Linked DNA regions of Drosophila melanogaster. The protein of the gene in region 1 interacts with the protein of each later gene in a pairwise test. Each region holds a gene or a part of one and is shown on either strand. Other genes may lie near its edges.

Evidence for each region.
Region 2: the proteins of CG43658 (region 1) and Fur2 interact in a two-hybrid assay, tested with the Drosophila melanogaster proteins (one large-scale study listed by BioGRID).
Region 3: the proteins of CG43658 (region 1) and Frq2 interact in a two-hybrid assay, tested with the Drosophila melanogaster proteins (one large-scale study listed by BioGRID).

What each region holds. Positions count from the first base shown.
Region 1 is NC_004354.4:17,558,122-17,562,797, forward strand, and holds the start of CG43658 (uncharacterized protein), read right to left. Parts: upstream 3,060-4,676; 5' UTR 2,708-3,059; intron 1-2,707.
Region 2 is NC_004354.4:16,371,351-16,376,148, reverse strand, and holds the start of Fur2 (furin 2), read right to left. Parts: upstream 3,064-4,798; 5' UTR 2,962-3,063; intron 2,928-2,961; exon of another isoform or gene 2,726-2,927; intron 2,520-2,725; exon of another isoform or gene 2,315-2,519; intron 1,609-2,314; exon of another isoform or gene 1,389-1,608; intron 1,224-1,388; 5' UTR 1,094-1,223; coding exon 290-1,093; intron 225-289; coding exon 120-224; intron 58-119; coding exon 1-57. Other genes in the region: nonA (no on or off transient A), read right to left, coding at 4,602-4,798. UniProt on the Drosophila melanogaster protein: Furin is likely to represent the ubiquitous endoprotease activity within constitutive secretory pathways and capable of cleavage at the RX(K/R)R consensus motif.
Region 3 is NC_004354.4:18,176,017-18,180,674, reverse strand, and holds the start of Frq2 (frequenin 2), read right to left. Parts: upstream 3,064-4,658; 5' UTR 2,584-3,063; intron 2,150-2,583; exon of another isoform or gene 1,991-2,149; coding exon of another isoform or gene 1,241-1,990; exon of another isoform or gene 1,203-1,240; intron 1-1,202. Other genes in the region: andorra, read left to right, coding at 1,241-1,990.

The DNA.
Region 1 (4,676 bases):
ATAAACTGAGGTACCCAATATTTAGATTTCGTTTTTTTTTTAAGAACTTGTATGTTTTATTATATATTAAGGTAGCAATTTAGCCTTGTACATCCTTCTCTATTTTATTACAACATTTTGTAACAGCAATCACATGCAATTAACTTTACTATTTAACAGATTATTGGAGCACATATAGCAAATTCATATTTTAAAAACATTTTGATGCATTAAAAAGCTTTCATGTACTTTTTATGATGCTTATATAACTTATAAGCTCTACCAAATGAGTCAGATCCATTATAAAAAGGGGTAAAAAGGCGAAGAAAAAAATCAATTAAGCCCTGATATTTGATATTATTTTTCCTCTGCGCTCTGTGGGACTATCTTATAAATCGCCGTTGCCATTCTGATGCGTTCGGCTTTGTATTTTATGCTGCTCCTCGAGTTCAGAATTTTCTATTTGGCGATTTGGATGGATGGTTGAGGTGGGGGAGGGGGGGGGCGCGTTCGGGGGGAAGGCAAACAGCTTTAGACACTTTAACACATTCCTCTGGGAATGAATACTCCGTGGAAGGAGCCACTACACACTCGCACACTCACACAGCCAGACATTTTAGTGGGCCTTCAGCATCGACATCGAAAAGTCTCGGACTTCGACTTGGACGGGGATAAAAAGGTGCACTGATAAAAAAGCATGGGAACTTCATGCCGAGTCTGGTTTTCGAGAAGCACATCCTCATTTTCATTAATTCATTTATCATGACTTTAATAGTTAGGTAATACTGATTAGGAAATCTTTTAGGCTTGCAGTCCACGTTGTGACGAAGCGCACCAAGATAGTTAAATCTACCGTGATGGTCTGATCACATTAAACCAAATGTTTTATATATCTCTTATTTCGTAATTAGTTTTTTCTTGCAGTGCCCGAAGGTAAGAGAAACATTTAGACGACTTTCCAAGACCGGTTCTTTTGGCTCTATGAACTCGCCTTCGTCCGCCTCGTACTAACTAGAACTTGTGGCCAAAATAAAAGGCAAACATAAAGCAGCAGCAGCTAGGCTAACAAAAAAAAAAAAACACAAAAAAAAGGCAAAACAGGGAAATGGTCAGCTAGTTGGCCAGTAGCACTTGGCCAACGGCCCTGTCCTTCTGCACCTTTCCGTTTGGACGGATTTATTTTAGTTAATAAGCGAAATCAGCGGAGGGCTGCTCAAATTGTTTGCATTTTTCGGTTGCTTAAAAGGTCCTTACATTCGTCAAGTAATGTACAAAAAATGTAATGAACTGGTATTCAAAGAACTTTGTTTTTTTTTTTGTAATACTTTTTCCCCTAATTCAATTTAACATTCTTTACTGCGTGTCACACACACATTTTTGACATTTATCGGTTAATATATCTAAGATTATAATATACAACTTTCCTTTCTATTCGTTTATGTTTCTTTGTGAAATGTAACAGGAAGAGTCAACCAAAGGGGCACTTTTTTCTTCATTCAGTTTGATGATTGGCCACACTTCTGAAATTCCTGAATTCATTTTTTAACAGCACCCTGCTGAAACTGCCAAAACATTTCGACAGTCCAGAATTCGTACATTTTTTGTTTCGGTAGCTTGATTTTTAGTTTGTTTACTTTTTGCTACCTTTTTGCGTGGCGGTTGTGTCTTTTGATGATCGATCAGCTTTTGGAAGCAATCAGGGAGCCAGGAAATCAGAGGACTCGTCACTTTCCACCACCATGTTGGCCAACTAATTAGATTCGCTCTGAATTCCCGGCTAATTGAAAGGTGAGCAGCGCGCTTGAACTTTTGGCACTTGCCAACTTTTAAGCTGTGCCAAAATGCTAGAAAAACTTAACGCTTTGAGATGGAAACTTCTAGCAAAGTACAACAAAAAGTAAAAAAAAAAATGGACAAAGTAATAAATTGTACAAACAAATAAACAAACAGTAAATCTTATCTGAAGGTTTATTAACGTATTTCGACAAAAACTAAATTATTTCCATGCTTTAAAAGTTTGGTTTTAAAGCTCTTTATAAAGCAACAACCAAATGCCGGCGATGAAATTTCGATTTCTGTGGCGTATAAAAACTGCAAGTTATTCATCTTAATTAAAAGGGATCCTAATGGCCAAGGACCAAACAAAGGATACAGCTAAGGGCGACGCGACAACATTTCGAGCCAATTGCTTGTGAGACAAAAGAGCCAAGTTATTGTTGTTAATATAAATGTATGTAGTGAGTCTGCTAAAAAGGGGAAACCTGCTCTCACCCAAAAATTGACAACTCTGAAATTTATTTGTATTTTAAGAAAGTGTCTAAAAAGAGATGTTCAGAAAATATAATATGTGAAAACTTTATATCGCGATTTAAGCCCTAAAGTTACAACTTAATATACATAAAATAAATTCACGTAATATTTTTCTTTTTTTTTCGGTCAAGTATATGATTTTCGATTTTTTGAAATTTCATGCCAATTATTGTTTAAAAAACACAGACAACGCTTCCAGTTCTAAGGAAAAAAATATTCAATTTTGGTGCACTACAAATACTTTTTCTGCCACTTTTATAACCCTTATTTAACTAATTTGCGAAATACTTTTCCATTCAAGTGCTAATGTTTTGGCGGCTTTTTCGTTTTGCGGTTTTCGCAGGTGGCGGCAGCTGCCACGTGACCGCAAATGTCCTGCGGCAAACGCATCCTTAGCTACTTAAAAAGCTGCACTTACGTTTTCAGCAACGATCGGTTGACAACGGCGCCGCAAATTCAATGAACTCGAAACTAGTTTGGCACATAAACAAAAATCGCAAAAAAAAAGAAGTGTAACGAAATTAAAGGAAAACCGCACACACACGCACACACAAAATGAAAATATAATATTTCACACTACTTCATTTTTTTCGTGGCTCTTTCTAAAAACTGGTAAGAATTGCTGGCCACCAGGTTGTGGTTACTGTTGTTTCTGATCGCGACTTAAAAACGACGCTCTTCGCAGGATTAGCGCTCTCTTCGAAGAGAGCCCCAGCAGAAGTTTAAGGAGAGGAGACGTCCTCGCGCGAGCAGCACCAAAATCCAACTGCGGCCGAATCCCACGGACGCAGCGACGTCCCCACGTCGACGACGCCGGCAGTGCCGCAAATGCAGTTTGCTCGCCACAGGCACGGAAAAAGAATTAATGCCCAAATGGCTTAGAGCTTGTTTTAAGTTAATGATTGAATGGAAGCGACGTTTATTGTGAACTTAGTATTGCTAAAAAGTAAGTGTAAGTAAGTAAGTAATTTAATTTAACAATGCACATCACAAACCATAAAATTGGTTTCAATCTTTGAAATAGCTTAAACATTATTTTATCAAAAAAACATAATTAGTATACATATTTTTTTAAGAACTTTGGTATTTTGAAAACATTTAATAGCTGCGCAGTTGTAGCTGCTATTGCTTTGACTGCTGCTGTGGACCTGAGCTAGTGTGCGAATGGAGTGCAGAAGGAAAGGAACAAGAACTGCCAGATGAAACAAAAACAAAAAACAGCTAAAGCAGCAACAACAACATGCTGATGCAGTGGAGCTGTAGTTGTATTTGTAGTAGGAGTTGGAGCTGGAATTGGAGTTTGGAGTTCCAATCAGACGAAAAGCAACTAGCGACGCGCGCGCTCTTTTCCGCTCTCTCACACACTCTCTCGTTTTCGGCACACTACTCTCGCTCTCCTTTTGCATTACGTATACGCCAAACAACGCAAAACTTAAACCGGCATTTTGTTAGGCGCACGTTTTGAGCCTCTACGAAGAGTGGGATCGAAGAAGGGAAGCGAGGGAGAGAGCAGAAAATGCTTCAGAACAGGTGCGGATCACTTTCAAAACGGTGCAGGGTATAGTTTATATTGTAGTTTACCTAATGCCCGAAAAAGTAGGCAATGTTTTATGGGAATACGGTTACCTGATTAATTTTGTTAGTTCATCAATCTAAGCCGATCTATTAGTTTTGTTACAAAAAAAATTAAGTCTGCTTGGTTCATAACTGCGATGATACGGAAAAAAAGTTTATACTTTTCTGTTTTCTCGAAATGATGGTCTAACTAATACTGAGTTAGAAAATCTTCGTTGGTTGTCATATATGCAGCCAACCAACTGAATCCGCTCCTGGCAACTTAGCATTTTCGCGCGTGCAGCAGGCAGTGCAACAACAGCAACCCCAGCGCCGGAGAAGAGTGCATCGGTTAGTGTGTGCGTGTAGGTGTGTGTGTGAGCTGCAGCTGGCAGCGAGCTTCCTACTTTATTACTGGTTTCCAACTTAATAAAATATGTGGAGCGCTTGATTTACTCTCAACAAGGATACGCAAGGGTTAAGAAAAGCAATGGCAGGCAGAAGAGGGTTAAAAAGAGATAAGCCAAAGAGAGCGACTTTCTTCGCCAGCTGTTTCGCCGAGCTTCTCCCGTTGCCTTTTGTTTTTGCCGCGCATTCGCCGGCTGGGATCTCTCTTTCCCTTTCTCACACTCTCTTCTGTTTCGGTGCCCCTCTCCCACCGTCTGGCCTCTCACTCATACGCCAGCTGTTGCTCCTTTAAGCGCCAGCGTACCGGAATGCACTTAAAAAAAGTGTGGCCTTGAACGTCTAAAAGCATTACAAATTTACTCATATATAACTTAAATGAATAATTAATATATAAAAATAAAGAACGTATAAGAATAATTAAAAAT
Region 2 (4,798 bases), 1.2 Mb from region 1:
GTACGGGCCGTCCCTCTTTCGGCGCACCTTCTCGTGCTGTTGCTGCATCCATTTCACCTGCAAGGCAATCATGATTGAAATCTCTGCTCCAACTGGATACTTTTTTAGAGAGTACACACCTCGTTCTCTGATTTAAGGGCGCCCTGATGTTTGCGACTAGAGCGCAGCGAACGCTTCGATACATGGTGATGCTGAAACAGATAGTAGTTGTCCAGCGATCCAATCTATGAAAAATTAAGTAAATTGTATGAGCACCAATTCCATTGCAGCGTTGGACAAACATTCTCACCTGTCCTCTATTGATAAATCCATGTTTGGTAGCTATAACATCTGCCATTTGCTTGCCAGCTGGAATGTTGACGGCGAACTCATTTGTGTATATCGCCTCTTCCGGAATGCTGAAGGCGCCAAACATATCGACCCCGTCGAAGTCGAGGCTATTTGACTGCCGTTCAACAATTTCATCTTTCGCACTGGCATTTGTGTGAGTATTTTCATAGTTATAATCGTATTTGCCGCCGCTAATGGTCTCAGCTTGACCCGCTCTTTCACCTCCCAGGCCAACCAGGTCGACCTTGTGGAGCTCTCTGTCATTACGATAATCAACATCAACATTCGATGATGATGATGATGATGATGATGGGGGATTTGTTCTTCTACTGCTGTGCAGGGACGACACATCATATGTGGTCGTTGCACTATCGTTGCTGAGTATTCCGACATAATTCTGAGTCTCACCCGCACTACTCCGTAGAGCACAACTAGTATTTGGGCTTAGGATTACTAAAAATAATACAAAATATATACAGCTCTGTGCCATTCGGTTAAATGTACATAAATAGATTCTATTGAGTTTTGCCGTTGCCGTTTCTTTTGCTCTTTGTGTTACAGTCGTTCCAGGGTCATGGACTCGCATATGGAGCATCATCTTTCGCCGTCCGATCTTTCGGTACGTTGGCTCTGCGAGAGATTTGGGGCCTCCACAGCGGGAAGGTCGCTGCTTCTCCAAGCCGGACGACCATGGATCTGTGATCTGTGGCGTGGTTCCAATTCTACCGATGGTAACTCGGCTGGACCTCGTCGTATTTGACATATTTAACTAAGTTTAGCTAATGGTATTAAGGTAGTTTGATTCTCCCGAAGAGTCCTTTTGCGACGTTTCCCTTTCCTGTTGTCGTACTCATGAATCTATTTTTTTGATCTCGTATCTCACGATCTAGTATCTGCAAGAGAACACGAAAAAGCACTTCAATTGTAGATTGAATTTGTGTTGTGCGAGAGACCCAAATAAAAACCTTGGACCGGTTAAACGTGGGCTTTTTATAACCAGAGATGCCAAAATGATTCATATATCACAGATATTTATGGCCGAAACGGTTTGTGCTTACTTATTAATGAAGTGCCTATTTGCGATGATCCATTGTTCGTCGGATGACACAACAGAATCACCTGGGGGGAACTACAGGTAAGTGTTAACAATGAGTAAGCCATATATGTACATATCTCTGTACATACATATGTACGTATCTATGCACATGTGTATCCACATGTCATTTGATTCTATTGTTTTCGGTCAGAAAGTCCCCCGAAGTGTAAGATGCAGTGGGTCTGCAATAGGGGAATTATGCATTAGCCCATTCTAATCATGTTTCTAATTAACATATTCACCACTACGGAACCCGAGCTTTTAAATTGAATTAACATTATTATTTATTGAAATAGCATTATACTGAACTCAGTAGCAATTGAAAGCAAAAAAAAAAAGGTATAAACAAATAACGGGAAACCGGGGATATCACTTCATCGAACCCCGCTTGTTTATATGAAAACCCTATTAAAAATCAGAGAGTTACCGTAAACCTGCGACCAAATGAAGAAATTTAATTTTATAATCAAACCAATTAGGCATTGCCAACGCGTTTCCAATTAGAAAATAATATATGTATGTATGTATGCACACGGCGCTGCATATAAATTTATATTATCAATGTTTAAATTTGTGCACGCATCTTTAAATTTTAATGAGTACATGTGTATGTATGTATGCATGTATGCATATGTGTTAGTCAAGTGATATGTTTATCCCATATTTCGATATACATATGTACATAGGATATGCAGTTATGCATGCCCGATATTGCATAGCTAGACGCATATGCTACATGAAAAGGCTATTAAATTATGGCTATGGTATCATATCAACAGTATCATATGTACAGACAACATCTATTCCGGTCTCTGTTTTACTGTGCCATTCGTTTAAAAAAAGAAACATACATATATGGCTGTGTTTGCTTGTAAGGAAATACTTCACTTTGCCGAGCATAATCCTACAAACGTATGCATATGTACGTGTGTATACATGTTTCTGGGCAAGTTCAGCTTGTACATCTCCCATTTTCCATCTCAATCACTCTCGCTGTATTTCCCACATGCTTATTAAATCACACATCTCCACATTTAATCACACTAATTTCGCACTGTGTGCACACTATCAACAAAAAAACAACAACAACAATTAAGCCACCAAGCCAACTTTTTTTTGTATGTATACATTTGCGTCCGATAATGTTTATGTGGCTGTGTGGGTCCGTGGGGCTTTATACACATTTGCAATTTTTATGCGTAAGAGTTGCCATTTCGATGGTGCATACATACATACACCCACAGATGTATGAAATCACGTAATGCAAGCCATGCATTCGTATGCTCTTTGCGTACATACATACATCATTGTGCATCAGAAATGGCAATAGCGATTCATGTAATCCAAAGCATTATATGTACATACATATTTATGCACAAATTGGCTCAAAGCGGTCACATTTAGAAATAAATCACAGATACACTCTTTAAGCTTTATTTAGCTATTGTTAAATCAATGCAATGCTATGCAAACGCAATCGAACAGACTGAAAACTGAAACTGAGACTTGAAAAGCGAAAGAGAACGCATGCTTACCATGCGTACATACAATATAGGAACTAGCCGAAAGCCGAAAGACCAAAAAGCCGACCGAACGAACAAGCGACGCAACCTCGACTGCGCTCCAGCTTAAACTGAACTTTATTTTGAAGTTAATACATATAGCCAACGTTGGTTGTTTCTTTCTCGCTGGATTTGTGCTAACCGCATACACAAACACACGCCAAGTATTAACGTACAAACGAACATACAAACGTACGTACATACAATCGTGCAATCAAACATTCGTACATTGGCAAGTGTACGTATGTTTTTACATAAAGCACAGCTTTCGGAGCTTTCAAAACAAAATGCAAAACATAACACGCAACCGTGCTGTAACAATAAAAAAAAAGAGAAATATCAACTATTACGTACGCACGCATACACCGACGTGCATTTCGTACCACAGCCGATGATAAATACACATTTAAGACGTGTTTCGATAGGAAACTGAAACTTTCGTGCAAGCCAAGTACATACATACACACAAACCGCTGGAAGCTTGTCCATCCATCCATCCATACGTATGTTTGTACCGTACATACATACGTGCGAAGACGCTCTCTAAGCGCTGACATTCAAACAAGAGATAACATTTAGCGGTAGCGCAAGGTTTTCGTTGTTATTGGTTAGCCGAGATTAGCGTTTCCATTTTCCGCTTTTTTGTGACCCGAAAAACAAATGAATCCAGTCGCACAAAATCCCCCATAAATGTTTGGTTGCTTGTATGTATGTATTTAAGCCAAAGATTTTGGCAAATCCCAAATGTATGTACATACATATGCATCTTGAGCCCCGGTATCGCTACACAAACACGCTCGCAAATACAAACAGATGCGAAGGCAACGCGCTACTTTTTAATATCTGCTTCACCATTAAACAATTATTAGCGGTTAGGACAGGTTATGGTTGTTTCCAATGGGAAGTAATACACAAACCTTAAGCAGACGCAAATTGGAAGTGCACTGTAATAAAAAAGGCCTTGGAAGTAATATAAAAATTAAATTATTTATTTCAATTTCGCTTATCGCTGACTTATTTTATGTTGCCGGAAATACGAAAAAACGTATCAAATCGAGCGGGTTTCGGCATAAAAGAAATAGAAAAAATGAATGTTTCCAAAATAAATAAAAATAAATTTCCTGTTTTTCAGCTATATTAAATTATTAGCTTTCTATTCGATTGCTATTTATAGATTTTAATGCCAGTTAGACTTGCGTAACAATAAATAACAATAAATAAAAATAAATAAAAATAAATTGCCTGTTTTTCACCTATATTAAATTATTAGCTTTCTTTTTGATTGCTATTTATAGATTCAAGTGCCAGTTTGACTTGCGTAAAAATATGTTTTCAGATCGGTTTTGCAGTGTTGCCAGATTGGTGGTAGCATAGGTAAACAGCTGTTGAATGATACCGTTAAATAAGATACGAGTTAGATCAAATAAATTTACTAAAATAATGCGATAAAACGAAGCTATTAGAATGATTATTACGATCAAAAGAACTTTGTTTAGAACATTTGGATACAACCTTTTTTATTTGAAAGGGTTTTATGCTTATATGTTTTAATACTTTTTAAATCTTCAAAGCTTTTCATTTCAGCTCATTGCAGTTCCATATCCCCGAATTAATCATAAAACAATTAACCAATTTAAGTTGCTTATGCATTTTTTAATAATATTTGATCGAGCATTAAGCTGTGTGCGTTTCTTAAAGCTTTCACATTTCTGTACAATTTTCGTATAAAACACGTGAGATGAGAACTCTTCCAATACGAATGCCACTAAAATTATATCCGAATCCAAATCTGGTGGGCTGAAGTTTGAAG
Region 3 (4,658 bases), 620 kb from region 1:
TCTTGTGTCTTTGCCATTGAGCCTATCGTGATTTGGCTCTTTTGGGCTCTGGGCTGCTTTCAGCTCCTGATTCCTAATTCCTTCTGGCTTCTTGCCTTTGTGCCTTGTGCTCATCATCATTTGCCGGGGCAGAGAAATCGCAATGGAATCAGATTTTTGCCTCTTTTCTCGAAGGCTAATTGGTGCCCAAATGCCGCCTGCCGAATGATTCTGTTTTCCCCACGAAATGCGAATGGGAATGTAAATGGGGACCAGGATGACGGGGTGACCAGGGGGCGACGTCGTCCATGGGGGCAACTAGCTAAACAACAATTTTAATTGCGACCAGGCAGAGTCAACGTCTGGGACTCGGGCCAAAGGCAAATGAGCGAGCGCTCCAAGAAATATGAACGAGGTCAATGATTGTTTACACTACCCTCGAATGCTGTTTACTTCGGCCCGACGACAGAGGGGGTGAGGGGGTAGAACGGGGGGCATTGGTTGTGTGTGTGGGTGTGTGTGGCAGGTGGCAGTTGGCAGTTGGGGTGGTGGCACGATGGGGTTAGTTCTAGTTGCCAGACACCTTGGAGGCAGCGCCTGCAGCGAATGTCAGTTTGTGGAAAAAAACAAGAAAATGCAGTAATTAGAAAAATACCTAGATATAATTATTTTTCTTATCTTCGTTTGAGTGCATGCAAAGAAATTTAATTCAATGGGGGGTCTTTAGTTCACCACTTGGCACTTCTAAGAAGATTAGCTATAAAAAACTGAGTAAGACTTAAAAAACTTCGTAAGGTGTCTAAAAGTATGCAGCACTAAATTTCTGCATAGAATAAAATAATCATATGTGTAAGCAAAGTTTCGTTAATATTTTTGAATGGGAAATTAAAGTATCCAGTCCACTGTGGCGACTATTAGGCCTCGGGCACATGTGTGTGTGTGTGTGTGTTAGAAAGTGTGTACAAGTATGGAATGCGAGCAAGGGAGAAGGAGATGAAAAACAAAAAGAGAGCGATGCATAAACACTTGCAGGTGCCACTACAGATGCTTCAGTTGTTGCCTCATTTACGTGAACTGTTTAAGGTGAGAACATAAGCTAATCAATAAACCTGCGCGATGAGGTGGTAGTTATGCTCATCCCCAACAAGTAAAGCTACCGGATGGCCAATCAAAGTAGTCGACACGTAGATATTCAGTATTTTCTACATTTTCCACCTTTACACAGTACATAGTATCCAAAATTATTCCCTTCCAGCCCAAGATGAATCGATATCATGAACTCAGCATGTCGTGGGAAATGCTGCGCGATCTCTACGAGACCTGGCTAATCCTGGCCATTGGCATGTTGGTGCGCTGGAATCGCTGGCGTCCGTTGATCCATGGCATGGTATCGCCACTGGATCCATCGCTTAAGCACATCGTGGGCGACAATGAACGCTGGGCGGGAGTCTACTTTGGATGCGGCACACTCATGACCATCATGCAGTATCGATCACTTTGGGTGCGCCGGTGTCGTCACCGCGTCCACATCCTGATGCTGCTGTCCGAAATAATGCTACTGCTCCAGCTGGTGCACTGGATCGACTGCCAGCTGTGGCAATCCTTTCTGAGCCTCTTCGAGGAGCTCTTCATCGCCCTGGGACGCGGTCAATGGGGCTCCTGGATCTTTTGCTGTCCGGCCGCAGTGCGCAATCTGTTCCTGCGTGGCGATGTCTTCGATGTGTTCCGCTTGCTCGCCTCGTTCGCCATCTTCGCCGTGGCCCTAAACTCGACAGCTGGTGAATGGCGGGTGTCCTTGGACTTCCTGCTAATCGGCTATTTCCCAAAAACTTCACTCTGGAGGCAGTCGCTCTATGTGGAATATAGGAGTAAGGGTTTCGAGCCCACGGGCTCGTACGTACTGCTACCACTTCCCCCACCCGAGCTCCTCATCTACAAGCGTATGTGTCGCCTGTGTCTGCAGCAACTTGAAACGAATCCCACTCACCAAAAGATTCAGATGCCTTGTTAAACGAAGGAGCAGTGCAGTTCATTCCTGGCTTCTTTATTTACTGTAGCTGATACGTTTAAATTGAATTAGTTTTCGCATCTTTGGCAAATTCCAATTATACATATATTTTATATCTCTGAATATTCATACAATAAAATCTAGCGTGTGATAAGCTCTTAGAAAGTTTTGATGGCCATCAGTTCTTACTTAGTTCTTTTTCGAGTACATGCATCACTTGGTGTCCTAATGTGATCTTCATGTGATTGATAGCCACAAGCTGCTATAGCGGCGCATCGCAGAACCCAGAAACTATGATTAAAATCGCATTTTCCATGATAAACCGAGGAATGCCAAAGTCATCGACCTAAAACTGTCGTAATAACCGCAGGGTATGTGCCCAAAGATAAATGCAACCGCACGTGGACCGCAAATCGAATGCAACTGCAAGCCAATTGTCAATCGCAAACTGCCACCCAAAATACCACCCATCCATCCTGACCATCAAAACCACCGCGGGAAATCTGCCTAATTATCTGGTTAGCTGGATTCGGATTGGGATTGGGATTGGGAGGTTAGGGGTGATATTGTTTATCCGGGGCTAAGTAACGACATACCTGGCACTCATTTGTGTGGTCATCAAACGCGGCGGTGGGTCTGCGGATTGGTTCGTGTTTGCGATGACAGTAATCGACTGATTAAGCGTAATTATGGATGTAATTTCCACTCAAATATTGAAGGCGAAACAGCAACAAACAGCAGCCAACAATGGACTATAAAGGCCTTTTCACTTTGGCTTTAAAACAAATTGGCTAGCAGTTTAACGCATTAGCGCGCACACTTAATTAGAATTCCCTGGCTGTTTTTTTTTTTTTTAAATTTTTTTTTTTTTTATTTGTTATTTGGCGTTGCTTTTGCTGGCCAAAGTGGGTGGCAAATGGGCGGGTGGTGATTTCCAATATGCACAGCGCACGCGAGCAACCCAAAAAAACAAACAAAAATTCGGAAAAAAATTAAAATAAATAGAGGAAGCCGAAAAAAAACAATGAGGAAACCGAACCGAAACAGAAAATCGAGTCGCGAACATGCAACTTGTGCGAATGGCAATCGAATGCCAGCAGTCGCACAAATGGCCTGGGCCTCAGTCGCAGTCGCCGTCGGCGTTGGCGTCGACGTCAGCAGCGCAGTCGGCGTAGGGATGGGCTGAGGAATTGAGCAATTGAAGAATTTACTTTGCATTTCTTGCAGGTGCCGCCTGTCGTGGTTGGGCTGTGACTAATTATTCAGCAGGTTGCTCTTCCTCTTGGCCTCTGCCTAAATATAGTAAATAATAAAAATTCTGGCGAATAACAAAAGGCAAAGCGGCGGGCAAATAAACAATAAAACGCCTGCCCCTGCTACAGATACAGATACTATATCTAAAGATACAGATAAAGATACGGAGGCGGGCCGGCAGTCAAATCAAACGAACCGTTTATTGGGCTGCTGCTGTTCGTATTTGTATATATATATATATACATGTGTTTAGATCGGTTGAATATAACAACACCTAGGCGAACTCTGCAGACACTATCGCCAAATAGAACCTCTTTAATCCATTCATTTCGATTTTTAGAACTTAAAACACTCAAGTCAGCAAGGAAAAGGCCAAAAGGTCAAATTACTAATTGAATTTAACTATTTAAATATTTCTTAAATCTAATAAACTACTAGGTTTATAGAAATTGGCAATGCTCTTTATTACTTTACAGATGCTAAACCACTTTAAATATTCTCCTTATGTGTTTATCTGTATTGCATTATTTTTTTGTTTTAATTTTTCAAAAAATGTCAAATAAGCGAAAACATTGTCCCCCTTTCACAGAATCGGTATCAATTTGTTTGCCTTTTTATTGCCTTGGATCATCTCTATTCGCTTCGAATAGAGAACAAAACTAGAAGAATCTTTAAGATATTTTTGGCACAATCTTATCATCCAATCTTATTCTACACTCGAATTTAAATAGTTTGTTTTATATTACGCTGGCCAACGGATCAAAAAGCCGCCAAAAAGCAACACTTTCAATATTATAATTAAACATTTGATTTTCGTTTAAATGCCCATAAATCTTCTGTATATACTGTAGTTGTTAAGTTGCCAACAAAGTATTTAAGTTCAAATTCCTGCCAGCATCGAATGCTATTCGAAAAGTAATCTATAATTAAATGCATTGTTCTTCGAAATGAAGCACAAGTTTATAGCTGCTCATACAATACATACACATTGATTGGTTTCTCAATTGCTCTATGTATTCCATCAACTAAATGGTCTCTTAAGATCTCTTTGGAACCGATTAGATTGGTTGAAGTATCTGCCTGCCGATCATTGATTATGACGATCAACTGACGCAGAAGCAGCATTTCCATTTCCCGTTTCAATTTGCAGTTCGCCAGCGAACGCGCGAAGAATAAATTCGCAATTGTGCACGAAAGAGGGGGCCTTAATGGTCGCACCTAAGAGGGGCGCTTTTTTTTGGGGGGGCGGGAGGAGGGGGATAGGGCGATACCGCGTCATCGACGTCGATTGCGGCAGCAACGCCCGCAGCGACTTACTCACTCATGCTGCCTCGAATGCGATGCCGATGCCTAAAGAATCGAATTCGAGACCGAAACAGGCCAATTATAATTACTGTTTATTTATTCTGGTTGTGTA